2 linked regions of the Arabidopsis thaliana genome follow. The protein of the gene in region 2 interacts with the protein of the main gene of each other region in a pairwise test. Each region holds a gene or a part of one and is shown on either strand. Other genes may lie near its edges. The genes, in order: CLF and UCL1.

What was found.
Region 1: the proteins of UCL1 (region 2) and CLF interact in a two-hybrid assay, tested with the Arabidopsis thaliana proteins (one study listed by BioGRID).

Annotation. Positions count from the first base shown.
Region 1 is NC_003071.7:9,951,841-9,959,167, reverse strand, and holds the start of CLF (SET domain-containing protein), read right to left. Parts: upstream 4,077-7,327; 5' UTR 3,599-4,076; coding exon 3,536-3,598; intron 3,259-3,535; coding exon 3,166-3,258; intron 3,082-3,165; coding exon 2,780-3,081; intron 2,676-2,779; coding exon 2,514-2,675; intron 2,377-2,513; coding exon 2,292-2,376; intron 2,155-2,291; exon of another isoform or gene 2,121-2,154; coding exon of another isoform or gene 2,097-2,120; coding exon 1,962-2,096; intron 1,862-1,961; coding exon 1,814-1,861; intron 1,742-1,813; coding exon 1,670-1,741; intron 1,589-1,669; coding exon 888-1,588; intron 787-887; coding exon 636-786; intron 537-635; coding exon 313-536; intron 234-312; coding exon 102-233; intron 1-101. Other genes in the region: AT2G23370 (cyclin delta-3), read left to right, coding at 4,150-4,252, 4,389-4,472, 4,574-4,648, 4,731-4,773, 4,851-4,908, 5,005-5,172, 5,253-5,315, 5,395-5,489 and 3 more; AT2G23360 (filament-like protein (DUF869)), read right to left, coding at 6,441-6,950, 7,040-7,088, 7,171-7,327. UniProt on the Arabidopsis thaliana protein: Polycomb group (PcG) protein. Catalytic subunit of some PcG multiprotein complex, which methylates 'Lys-27' of histone H3, leading to transcriptional repression of the affected target genes, mainly abscisic acid (ABA) responsive elements.
Region 2 is NC_003070.9:24,449,894-24,457,134, forward strand, and holds UCL1 (ascorbic acid mannose pathway regulator (DUF295)), read right to left. Parts: upstream 3,319-7,241; coding exon 2,203-3,318; downstream 1-2,202.

The sequences.
Region 1 (7,327 bases), on a different chromosome or scaffold from region 2:
ACAGTATAAGTGCATCTGGAACTACTAAAAAAAAAGTTGCATTTCTTGAGCATTTTCTAAGAAACCAATTAGGATGGATTTGCATCCCCAATAAGACTTACATGACCCAGCAGTTTCTACAAACATCTGGGTCACATTCCCGATCTGCAGCAAAGCATGGACACTGGCGGCTTCGACACTGACTTTTGGCACAATGACAACCTCTAAACCTATTCTTGCAGCTCTTTGGGCAACTACACAGAAAATATAGTTTGTTGGTAATGAGATTCAAAGCTAAGAAATACAGATGTGGATAATCATAGATTACATTACCCGCAGTACTTCTCGCAGCAAGTCCCGTTTAGCAAACAAGGACATTCCTTCCCACAAGCAATTTTGCAGTTACATGGATTAAACTGACGGCAGGGCTGGTCTTTCTTCTCAGTAATTCTTTTCCTAATTGAATGATATGCAGCAGACTTCCAGGTATACTTCAAGCGCCGCACTTTGCCTCTCCTACGTAGAAATCTTGACCTTCTCCTCACTTGGTTATTAACCTGGTTAGTCCAGAAACTAAAGCATTAAATCCGAAGAGAAATAAATCGATTTTATCAGGAATTTGTAAACAAAGTCAAAAAGGTTTAGTGTTAATATACCATATTTCCATTGATATCGAACTTGGAAGAGCCATCAGGATTCAATCCATCACCTCCAAAGAAGGAAGCTTTATTTTCCGAGCACGTCATGTATTGGAAGACCTCCCAACATGATTTGAAACCACTCAAAAGATTTCTAGCAATCAAGCAGCTGCAAAGAAACAAAGAATCCATATGACTATATTCCACAAATTGAAAAACCTGAAGCAGAATGATAATTTAGCAGTAGCTAAATACATCAAAATTACCCACCTATTCATTCCAAAAATCTCAACACCTTTATCAAAAAGGCTTTTCTCAAGTGGTCTCCACAACTTATTTGTAGCCAATCTTCCTCGAGATACAGTTTCACCCATAAACTCTTCTTTCCTTAGACTTTCATCACTACCCGGCGCATCAAGCTCTGACGCAACCTCATTTGACTGGCAAACAGGAACGTCATCCTTCACAGAATTATTGGAGACTTCGGCAGGAGTGCCATTCTTCCTTGACTTCCCGGAGTTCCCAGATTTTACATGCTTCTGAGAAGAGGAAGTAGCATCTTCATTATCTTTATGTTTTGCATCGCTGGGTGAACAACTTCCACTGGCGATGGAATCACTATCCGAGGCTTCTGTCTTCTTCTGCCTCTTCTGAGTCTTACGAGGAACTCGCTCAGCAACTCGGTTTTTGTTCCTCTTACGACCTACTCGTCTCCCACTACCTTTCACCTTTGGCGATGATGAAACTTTATCGGAATTGGTATCCTGCTGTAGTCCATTCTCTGAGTCACTTGTTTCTAGTGCGCACTTTTCATTAGACGATGCACTTTCACTTGGGAAGGTCTTTGGTTTTCTCCCATTAAGTTTGCTGGAGAACTTCGTGGGTGTGGTTTTAGTACCTGCACCATCTGATGAAGTGCCAGTTTTACCTTCAATGGTGCCATATCCCGGAAATCTTCCAGACTTGAGAAGCTGATAAATTGAAAACAACGCTTTTTGTTAAACCAGTCTTTCTAGGAGATGAGCTTAGCAACGAGAAAATAACAAATTTACCGTTTTATAGCAGTTTGCACCACAGGTTAAATTTTCATCTACAGGAGGACACCATGGAGCTGGTTTCTCAGCCTAAAAATCCATAAAATTAGATAAGTAACACTAAAGTTATAGTAAGATTTTTTCGGTTGGCACTAAACTCACCGGAAAAATGAGATCCTGTGAACACCCATGAAGCCGGCAATCAAATACCTGCATAGATGCATACAAAAGTTAAAAAGAGACCAATGTTTGCTCGATCATTAAGCAATAACCCATGAAACATTAGCCTGAGAAAATCAAATGGACTAACAAGGCATCTACGGCAGAACAGGTTATCGAAAGAATCTAATGCTCCTTCCATATCTTTGTTGAGAAGGGAGCTCTCTGCTTGATTATCGCCACTCTCGGATACTTCTTTTTCCTTCATAAGCACTCCATGTCTTGCCTGTATAAGATGGTCGGTGTTCATATCTCTGCAAAAAGCCAATTGGGAAAGGGCTGGAACAATACTAATTGGATTTCCTTAAACAATGCATCCCTCACTCTGTTTTGAAATCCTACAACTGAAGTGCTTGATTCTAAAGAAAATAGCACATGATAGTTCACACAAGCAATAGGCAGAGAAAAAAGTTGTTGATACCTTGATTTCACTAGTACTTCTAGACAAGAAACTTGCTAGTTCCGCCAGGACTGAGTCTGAAAGACCTAGTTGCTCAAGGGTCATGCTGAAGAAACGAAGGGAAATTTAATCCAACAATATAAGTGAGAACAAACCAGCATAACAGTTGACATAGCAGACAAGAGATTCACACTAAGAGACCAAAATGCAAGAATGATTAAACTCCTGCCATTTAATACTAACCGAATAATATAATCTTCAGGCTCCAAAAAATCTCTTTTTTCTTCTTCGTCGTCAATGGCCTCCTCTTCACTATCACTGCAGATAAGCGCTTCCCCGCCAGTTTGATCATAATAAATTCTCCTTCGACCCACTACAGACTGGTCTTCAGTCATTCTTTGATTTCTGCATCATTTCAAGAGTGATTATAACGTTAAGATACTATGCGAGGGGCTTACATTTCAACTTGAATATTTTCAAGTACTCTTGCGACATTAATGTCAACATACCTGTCCAGAAAAACCCATGTGGTATAAGGTGACAAACGTTTGATATCAGGCATTTTGATAGGACGTAAGGAAATTTTGACAGGGACACTAGATCCTTGAACCATTCCTGAACTGGCAGGTCCATCTTCTACATATCTGTTGTTATTACTTTCATCGATTCCGCTTTTCATACCTGGCGAATCTCTTTGCCTCTTAACTAAAAGATCACTGCCATCTTTACAGCTACCTCCTCGTTCCATAGAAGACCTCATAAAACTTTGAGTAATAGCAAACAAATTCTTCTTGTTTTCATCAATCCTTTTCTGGTTACAAACACATCAATTTCTAACAATCAGATTCAGAAACACATAAAACATACAAAAAAAAAACTAAACAAAAATAGCAACCTTTATTGATATACACCTATCAGCTGCAAGCTTCTTCTTTAGCGATTCTATTACTTCTGATACTTCCTTAGAAGCTGGACCTCTCTCCTCCGCCTGAAACATCAAAATGAGGTTCCTTTACACAGTGTTCAATGAGAGAAACTATCAATTGCAGCAAAAATGGTTCCTAAACGAACCCAAAAACAACTTCATATCTCACAATCCAGCAATCTCTAGATCTAAAAACGAGCATATAGAGAAGCTCAAACAAGCCATCGAGTTTCGTTCTCTTCACTCAAACTAAAGCAAATCAAAGTCAATGCCTCAATAGCACAAAGAAAAAAGTTCCATTTTTAGAAAGTAAGAAAAAAAAAAAAAACGATTGACGCACCGGAGAGTCTTTGGGTGGCTCCGATCTGGTGGCCGAAGAAGAAGGCGAAGCTTCTGACGCCATTGTCAAGAAACCAGATCGGAACCGAAACAAATGCGGGTCCGGGTTAAGATCCGGGTCGCGAAATCTGAAATGTTGGAGGAGAGAAGGAATTTGGCGGGTCGTTATAAACCCTAAAAATTTATCTTCAATTTTGTTTTTATTTTGGATCTTTTATCTTCAAATCCAAAAAAAATTTCGTTTTACTTTTAAAGAACATTGTTTACGAATTGGGAAGCGTGTAAATTAGAAACTTTTTCCAATTATTTAAAAAAAAAAAAGTTGGTGGGAAAATAGCGACGTGGCAGCTCGATTTGAATTATCTACTGTACATCTCCGGCGACGGTTTACCGGAATATCACGTAGCTCGAGACAACGAATCTACTAGAGTTCGAGACTGGTTCTATATCAACTGAACAAAACAAACACGAACGTTGCTGGGCTCTGATTTAATGGGCTCTTAAACCCTATTTGTTTGGGCTTTATTTTTTGTTTTTTTTTTCAGCAACAGCTTTTCGAAGTCTCTCTGTAATCTCATCGGACGAGAAACAGTACGGCGATCGGAAAACTCTGAGATGCATCGCGGCGCGGCGGTTTTCGGACGGAAACGTAGACTGATACTTCTCCATGGCAGCAGAAACTTCGCCAGATCCTTTTGCTCTTCTTCTTCACTATCTGGTGAGAGGGATTCACATCTTCGCTATTTCATTTGCAACTTCTGGAAGCTGTGCGATGGCTTGAGATTGGTTTATGATTCTTACGGTGCCGAATTTGAACAATCAGTGAATCGAAGTTAACGATTGATTATGTGCAGAACATGAATGTTTCATTAAGGATATAGCAAAAGCTCAGCCTCCTAAGCATCTGATGCAGCTGCTGAATATATTCACAGCTAGAGGTAAATCAATCTTACACTGACTTGCTGATCGTATTTTCGAAGTTTTTGTTTGTTAACTTGCGGAATGGTGACTTTTGCTTGTGGTAATGACATTGGATCAGGTAAATCCATAGTTTCTCCTGGTGCCAAGCAAGGCTTGTTACCTCTTACTATTCCGTTGGTGAAAATGAGCCCGGGTATGATTCTGGACTTGTACATAAGTTCTTATCTGAGGTTGTAACACTTTCATATTAAGTTTGTATGACTTTCCTTTTTCAGGTTCTTCAATTGCTCTATTACGGTGGCCAACAGCTCCTTCTAGGTTAGATCCTCCTTGCTTTTTTAATATCGTCATGTTTCTCTTCTTTTGTAGCTTATCATTGTTTGTGGTGTTTGCAGTATGGAGATGCCTGTGGTGGAAGTTCAGAAACATGGGGTTTGGTTTCTAGCTAATAATGTAATGAGTCTTTTTATAGCATTACTGATGCGTTAATTTAGGGTTATTTTTGTTGAGTGTTCATTCTCATATCTGACTTCATTGGCCAACATTCAGGTTGATCAGTTCATTCACAGAATATTGGTGGAAGAAGATGTTTCCAAACCCGAAGAATGCAGCCAAGAAATCTTCAATGCTGCTGGTGAAGCTGGGAAGAAACTTTACAGTAAGGGTGACTTTGCCAGTTCAAGACTGATGGATTTAGATGCCTATCTTTTAAGAAAGGTACATATATTGAGCCTGTTAATATCAGAATCTTTTCTGCACATGGATACTGGGATATGATTATTAGCTTTGTAATTCAGGTTGGATTGTTTCCAGATTCTCTTGAACGAAAAGTTATTCGGCATATCGAGAATGGAGACCATGTAAGGCTAGTAATTATATCTATCCTGTTGTAGTTGACGTGTTTTCTCTTTTTAAACTATCTTCACGTGCTAATACAAGGTTTCAGCTTTGGTGGCTACCGAGTTTTATACAAAGAGAGGGAACTTTCCCGGATTTGCCCGGCCATTCGCTTTCAACGCAAAAGTTTTACTGAAGTTCGTATGATCCTTTCTCATCATCCCTCTTTCTCCCTTGTGAACGACCCCCAGGTAAATGCTTACGTCCTTTCTAGAAAACTCTAAGACCTCTATATATTTTGTAGACTTGGGCGTAACTTAGAAGCGAAAGACGCAGCTAGGGGTGCTTTGAAATCTTCGTGGTGGACCTTAGGATGCAGATATGAGGTACAATTCCTTGACTATCGACAAGCAATTTTGGTAATCGAAAAGAGAAGGGAAAAAAGTGTTGAACATATGAAACGGGTTCCCAGGAAATTGCTCAAATAGCAGAGTGGGGAGAAGAGCAAATTGCGCAGTATAAGGAGAGAGTTACAGGAGAAGGAAAACAACGGGATATAGACAGGGGAAAGCCAATGGCTCAGGTTTGTTCTTTGCCTGTATTCATTATCAGATACTCATATCATGCTTATGGATACAAAGGCTTGAAACAAAACTTGTAATTCTCAGGCATCTTTGGACGAGGCTGCGTTCTTACTGAATCTAGCGTCACTTGAAGGGACATGGGACGAATCACTGGAACGGGTTGCTCAGTGCTACAAGGAAGCTGGACTTAACGACATCGCCAAGTTTGTTCTGTACAGAGATTGAGAAGTCTCTTTTAAAGGCCACAATTTGTTCTTTTGAGACCTGAGATGACATTATATCAAATGATCTTATGCATTTAGTGTCTACGTTGAAGATTTACATTAACCCTGCTAAAGATTCATTGGGTCAAGATTACTGATTGTATCCTTTCTGAGACTAAAAGTGGAATAAAGCAGAATGATCATCTTATAGAGTAATACTCTACGTGGAGATTATATATATACTGCCAAAAAAATCTAGAAAATGACAGTTTAGTTTGCATAGTTTGGGTCTTTGGGACCATATAAAGAAACAGGATTAAGGTATTAGATTATAGTCTAGATGACAGATGCCACCATCTTCTTAGTTGGCAAATGGATTAGGGACCTTCTTGCTCTTACCTTTCTTATTTCTCCCCAACAGCTTTCTCCAGAGGCTCTTAACTCCGCCGGTCTTTTTCTGAGGAACAATGGCAAAGCAGTTTGAGTCGGAGCCTTTGCTTTTGTCTGAGAGAAGAATCTGTTCTAGTGCCTCAATGGTTTCATTGTAAACAGAGCTGTTTCCTCCCTTTCCGTTTTTATCTGCTGCTTGCGGTTTCTGATCCTTGGATTCCCCGGTGTTGTGATCTTCTGCCTTCATCTGATCCAAAAGAGATGATCTCTGGCTGGTCAATCTCTTCTCTGGTTTAGTAGTCTCATGTGAAGGTTGTGCATCAGGTAGGTTGTTCGATTTGTCTGTAACGTCGTACATGAGTGTTTCTGAAAGTAAAGCTGTTTCCTTTGAGTTAGTCAATGCCTTGAGCTGCTTTCCCAGGTTTAGAATCGTCTCTTGACACTCGGCCAACTTTTCTGAAGCAGCAGCGATTTCCAATTCCTGAATCATCAAACACATAAAACAGATTGGTCTTGGACAAAAACAACTCTCAATGTAATGGTATCGATTTTCTTCTGCTTGTAACTTACGGTTCGCATGTTTTGTTTTTCCTCCAGCTTGAGCTCGTTCTCTGAAGCACTGCAACAAGAAAACCATTGGATGCATCAGAGATAAAATGTATGATTTTGCTGACATGAAGTCTTTAAGCATTCATATTTACCTCGCTGTTTTGTCATTTGCCTCTTCTTCAACCGTTTTGCGCGACAAGTTTTGATTACCAGGTTTGTCTTCAATCAACTGATCTTTGCAAGCCAAAAAGGAAACATCTTCCGTTCTAAGCTTCTCTGCTTCTGAAACCTGACGAAATATTCCAATAT
Region 2 (7,241 bases):
TTTCTCTTTGCTTATTCTCACTATATATCCTATACTATAACTTGAAAAGTTCTGGCTTATTGTAATAATGATATTGACTAGCATTCGTTGCAACAACTTATTATATAATGTGGAACAACCATTGCCATTGTCAATCACAAAATCTAATTTGAGTTGCAGCAGCTACATTCATCTTCCTCTTCTCCACCTGAACATACTGAAGATAAAGCGAAGCGGAATTAATTCAGATATAAGAATCTAGGGTGTGAGCAATTTGTGCCGGCATAGGAAGTAGCATAACTCCATGGAGAAAGGTTTTTCCTTACTGGGAGACATTAGCTTCAGAAACTTGGTAGAAAATTGCTTCATATAGTCACAAAATTTATATAACAAATTTGCTACGACTAGCTATGAAAAAGATTTTGTTCTACTTTAGAAAGTTTCAAAATGTTTATGACAAAGTATTTAAATTTTTGAAAATACGATTCTTGTTGGCGCCAATTTGTTAGAAAAAAGCAAGTTCTATAAATCGTGTACCAAATAGTTGATACCAAAATTAATAGATTTTTTCATATTAATATCATACGTTGTGTCAAACATTCAACCCTAAAAATCAAACCCAAAAGCAAATATTCAACAAAGTTTTGAAAGCTTATGAACACATTTACCAGTTTGATTAGCTTTCTTTAAGCTAAATAAAGTCCGAATTGATAAGAAAGAAAAGAGGTTGTCCATCAGAGAATTTTCATCACGAAATGGCACCAGTATTGTCTTCATTATCATTGTTATCTTGCTGGTTGTTCTCATTGCAGACTTGGTTCGGTTCGGAATGATGGATGTGACTTCAGCCAATGAAGATCATTAGATCCAACTCTAACTTTTTGGTAGAATTGTCAGCATTGTTGTTGAAGCAAGTGGCCAGATATATAAGTTTATGCGCCTTGTGTGGGCTGAGCAGAGCGGAAGTTGGTAGTTGCTACTTCCGGCATATACTGGTTCATGTACTCGACCAAAGTGGCCAGCTACTGCTGCAAGGTAGAAACTTTTCGTTCTAAGGAAATTTTAAATATTACATCAACATAGTTTTTCTCTTTGCTCATACATCGAATGATGTTCTTCAAAACCAAAGATCCTTCATTTTCTTAGCCGATACGTAATGCAAAAAACAGACAATTTACAATACATTTTCATAAACTTTCATTTAATTACAATATGTATTCATAAACTTAACTAATTGGGATATAAAATAGGAGACAAAGAAAATCAGTATTGAAAACAAATGATTCTCATACTAAGTATCTACCCAAGTTCATTCCTTTATAAGTATACCCAAGTTCATTCAAAGAACACAAGAAAACATAACTCTTGACCGTTTATAGAAACCATAGAACATACATTTCATCCTCATCAAGTTGTGTGACCTATGAGCATTCACTGGTTGTCCCATTAGAAGCTTGTGACCTATCTGCCTTTGAATTTCTACATTAAATATTTGTGCCCTTCTATCCACATAAATTTCATCACGTCTACGATGAGTCTTTCTCAATACAAGCAACATGGAAGACTCAATTCTTTCTCGTTGTCTCTACAAGTTAAATAAAAAACATTTAGTGCTAAAATATATCCTGATTATAAAGTGCACACATATGGTTAGGATTAACTTACTATGAGATCTCTTACTTGCTTGAGAGATCTTGCTACAAACATTGAAATTTAAATTATTTATTAATGTCTCACTTTGCCACCAAAACACTGTATCAGTAAGTGTTATTGGACATTACAGCAAAATGCAGACTTTGACCTTTCGCAATGTTTAGAGTCATATAGTTTATGTTGCGACAAATATTTGTAGCCATTTTTTTTGGTTTGTCACAGTTTGTATATTTTGCTACAAATAAAAATTAGTCACAAAAAGATATTTTTAAGAAAATAAATATAGTTCAGCTACATCCTAATCTGTAAGAAATATTAGCAATCGTTTATTACAAATTTGTTACGAGATATTTTTGTGAGAAATTTTGATAAAAATATCTTGTTACTGTGCACGTCAATCTTCTGACGCAGTACTAACTAAGGCATATCTATGCTTCATCATGATACCGGAAAATGAAGATATTTTAGTTACGTTGCATTGCTTTGTCTATAAAGATGAAAAGTAATTATTTTATTAGAGATGATTGGTACTCTTAATTATAAAGAAAGTAGGTTTAACCTACACAAGATTCAAAGAAAGCTAGGAAAAAACATTTCGAAGGAACTCTCGGAAGATTCCGACTTTCTGGTGATACTACTTCCATTACCATTGTCTAGCTGGAACACCTTAGGCTCTAAATCCTCAATGAAGTAAATAGAGTTTGGGAGGCATCCGTAATACTCATGAGCCAAAACCGAGAAACAAGTATCGGTAGCCATCACAAATGCATTGTCTCCCAAGGTCTTAACTTCTACCCATTTGGCTAATTCCTTATCTATCTTGTAAACCTTGAAACCAGCCGTTCTTGAAAATTGAAATAAGGTCGATTTTCTCTTTCGAGAATTCTCTTTGGGGAGGCGTTTGATAACGTAAAGCTCTCCACAGCAATCCACAAATCTCATGTAATATCTCCTACAGCCATTAGTCATGTTTTCATCGAGTGAAGTTTCGTACCTTGACATTTCAAGATCGGAATTAATGCACCAAACGATGCCTTTTGAATCCAAGACGTAAGTTACTCCTTTGTGAACTATAATGTCGGAGAAGTGATGACCCATTTGTTTGAATCCGTTCAAGACATTTCCATTCCAGTAGTTGATTGTTCCATCCCTACCGATTCCGAGAATTCCATGATGATGATCATCTCCTTCCTTCACTTTGACAAGAGCACTTCTTTGGTATCCTGGATTCGGTAGTCTTCCCTTGGCGTCCTTAAGAACCGCATAAGATTCTTGAATCTCGGAGACAGTGAAATCCAAAAGATCAAGGCTCTCGGAAGAAATACGCAATGGAAAACGTGAGAGAGGGTTGAGGAGATGGAATCTCCCGGAGTTGGTGTCCATGTCGGATTTGATTATCCAGCCCTTACTCGGAGAGGAGGAGAGAGTGACTCGGAAGAAGGCTGCACGTGAGAGGAACGCGCCGGGGTTGCAGCTGAAGACATGGTCCTCTAGAAGGGTCTCACTTGGGGCGATGGGGTTGAAGTCAATGAGAGGGCGCCTATGGAAAGGATTCTTCTTCACGCCGGAGACAGAGGAGTGCCATGATACACAGATGCTGCTGAAACGCTTGTATTCAACTAGGGAGAACGATCGGGCGGCGATAAAATGGAGGAGCTCCTCCGGTAAGGTAGACCAATCTACCATTTTGCTACTTTGATTGTTTGTGATTTGTGAGTCACATAATATATATATACTACGTATACTTACCTAAAAGTCCTAACATTTTAGGTTCCAAATGGTTGTGTTTTTAACTTTTAAAGAAACAATAAAATATAAAATCAAAATTCACTCATTCCCATAAATAAGAATGAATACATTGAACCTAAATGAAAAATATGAGTTCTAATTTGCTAAAGAATATTAATTCATATTCTATTCGATTTTATACCATTAATGATTTTCATGGTTCATCATTTGTTGAATTGAAATTTAATAGCAGTACTTAAAGAGTAAATACTCTCTCCATTTGTAGACAAAAATATTTTGGGTTGACTTCCCTAAACTACACCAAAACAGGGACCCCAAATAGTGTTTGTACTTAGGCAAAAAGATTTAATTATGTTTCATAGGTGATTGATTATATATTCTAAATAAACAAAAACAAAAGCCCAACAAATATATGAGACTAAGACACAACAAATCAAAAATGAATAATAAATGTTACAAATTTTAGGGTTAAAGCCTTTGTAAAAATGACTTTTAGAATGACAATTTGACCAACTAACAGAAAATTATTGATTAGTGTGGCACCCAAAATTATTACATAAAATGTGGCCTTGGCACAAATCGTGTATTGTTTTTGCGATAAGAGAACAAATCCATAGCAAACGTTTGTAACGCAGTGAAAGGAAGATTATTAGAGCATCCTTATTGATGGTCTCTTAACACAATTCTTATGTTAAGAGATATGTCTTATAACTAACAAATGTCTCTTATTGACTTGAAAGTAGCCTGGGTCTAGTGAAGTCAACCAAATAATTTCGATGTCTTTTTCCTTGTTTCTTAAGAGATTTATTTTTTGCTTTACCATGCCTTTTTTATTAATTAATTATGACGAATCATAAACTTTTAAAAAATATTGATTGTAAATAATTTATTGTATAAAATTACTATTGGTTTAAAGTAATAAAGAAACAAATTAATACCAAAAATAATATTTATATTTAAATATTAATTAATTTTTTTAATATATGTGAAAACTCATAAAATCAATCATTCCAAAACAGAGAGAGTAGTAAACTTTTGCGGACGTGACTTGATTTAATGTTTTCTACACTTCTGTTATGATACCAAAGATGAAGATATTGTAGTTGCTGTGTGTGTCTATACCGAAAATGAAGCTGAAACGTAAGCTTTTTTATTAAAGATGATTGGTACTCACAATTATAAAGAAAGCAGCTTTGACCTAAAACAAATTTCAGAGAAATCTAGGATAAAACATTTGGAAAGAACTCTGAGAAAATCCTGACATTGTTGCGATATTACTTCCATGCCATTGTCTAGCTCGAACACCTTAATCTCTCTCTCGTCATCTGTGAAGTAAATAGAGTTTTACATCATCCATAAAGCCAAAACTGAGAAACAAGTAACAGTAGAATCAAAAATGCCTTGTCTCCCAAGGAATTAACCTCTATCGTTTCACCTAATTCCTCTTCGAACTTATAACCTTGAAACCGACTGTTTGGGAAACCAAGTGAGGGATGGGTTACAATCAATACCGACGGAGCCTCGCATGGAAACCCGGGGAAGGCAACAGCGGGAGGTGTGATCCGTGATGAGTATGGGACGTGGTTAGGTAGTTTTGTTTTTAATATTGGTGTTTGCTCAGCCTATTAGCGGAATTGTGGGCTGTGTATTAATGGCTTGTTGTAGCTTGGGAGAAAATATTTAGAAGGGTGGTGTTGGAGATGGATTCGGCGTTGGTTGTTGGTTTAATATAGTTAGATATTAGGGATATTTTTACGCTAACAACCCTGATACGCTTGTGTCATGACTTTATCTCAAGAGACTAGATAGTCCAGATTACTCATGTGTATATGAAGGTTGATCGCCAAGTTAGTTTACTATGTGTTTACTCTATTGCTTGGTTTTCAGTTATTTAATGTATGTTTGGAGGAAGTTTATCTGGTTATGATAGAGGATGTTAGTGAGATATCGATCCCACATAATGTTTGAATAAAATTTATATTTCGTTATTAAATAAAATGTAGGAGAAAAATCTCGTACAATCTACCAAAAATAATGTAACATATACCGATGTGCGTACATAGAAGATATTGCTTTTTACTAATTTCGGCTTTTTGCCACTGAGTAAATAAAACTTGAAAGTAGTTATTTTAAATAAATTTCTAGTCAAAAGTTATCCCTTCAATCTCAATTGGATATATCTCTCCTTTCTTATATTTCCATTTCGGCTTGTATTTCTTAAAATTAAAACTAAAACTGATGAGATTTACTTTTCTTTTCTTTTCTTTTTTGTTTTTAAAAGAATACATAACAACCTAATAAATCTCTGAAATATCAAATCCCTAATCTAATACAATCTGTAAATCAAGTTAATTCTGATAATAAATTATATATTAATGCTTCAAAGATATCCATACCACAAAAAAGTAAGTATAAACAATAAACACTATATTTGGTGTTTAGGGAAGTCAACCCAAAATCTTTCATCTAGAAATGGAGAGAATATTTTGTAATGCTACAAATTTTCAAGTCCAGGCCAAAACATGCATCTATCCCACAATGATGAACCATGAAAACCATTTATGGTATAAAATCCAATTGAATTTAAATTATTATTTTTAAAGCAATTTAGCACTAATATCTTGCATTTAGGTTCACTCTATGAGAAGAAAGAAAGGGAGTAAGGGTTGGATGCTTCTAAAGCTGGATTTAGAGAAGGCCTATGACAGAATAAGGTGGGATTTTTTGTCAGATACGCTTGTCGCAGCAGGGTTTTCTGAGGTCTGGGTGACTTGGATAATGCAGTGTGTTTCAGGCCCGGATATGAGCTTGCTATGGAATGGTGAGAAGACTACACCTTTCAAGCCATTGCGAGGTCTGAGACAGGGTGATCTTTTGTCCCCGTATTTGTTTGTGCTGTGCATGGAGAGACTCTGTCATTTAATTGAAAGATCCATCAATGCTAAGCAATGGAAACCGATTAATTTGTCGCGTGGGGGGCCGAAGCTCTCACATATTTGCTTTGCAGATGATCTGATTTTATTCGCAGAAGCTTCAGTAGAGCAAGTACAGATCGTAAGGAGAGTGTTGGAAGCGTTCTGTACTGCCTCGGGTCAAAAAGTTAGCCTTGAGAAGTCCAAAATCTTCTTCTCTAAGAATGTCTCCAGAGAGTTAGGCAAATTGATAAGTGATGAGAGTGGGATACAATCAACCTGTGATTGGGGAAGTATCTTGGAATGCCTGTTCTTCAAAAGAGAATTAATAAAGATACCTTTGGGGAGATCTTGGAGAGAGTTTCATCCCGCATGTCTGGTTGGAGAGAAAAGACGTTGAGCTTTGCGGGCCGGTTAACACTCACGAAAGCAGTCTTATCCTCGATGCCGGTTCACTCTATGAGTACAATTCTGTTGCCGCAATCTATTCTGAATCGACTTGACCAACTATCCCGGACCTTCTTATGGGGAAGTACAGCAGAGAAGAAAAAGCAGCACTTGGTAAAGTGGTCAAAAGTGTGTTCACCAAAGAAAGAAGGAGGTTTAGGAGTCAGAGCGGCTAAGAGCATGAATAGAGCACTTATCTCTAAAGTGGGTTGGAGGTTGCTCCAAGAGAAGAATAGCCTCTGGACCTTAGTTTTGCAGAAGAAATACCACGTTGGTGAAATTAGGGATTCACGTTGGTTGATTCCTAAAGGGAGTTGGTCTAGCACTTGGAGAAGTATTGCAATTGGTCTAAGAGATGTGGTATCGCATGGAGTTGGTTGGATTCCTGGTGACGGTCAACAAATAAGGTTTTGGACTGATAGGTGGGTGTCGGGTAAACCGTTGTTAGAGCTTGACAATGGTGAGAGACCTACAGATTGCGACACAGTGGTAGCCAAAGAT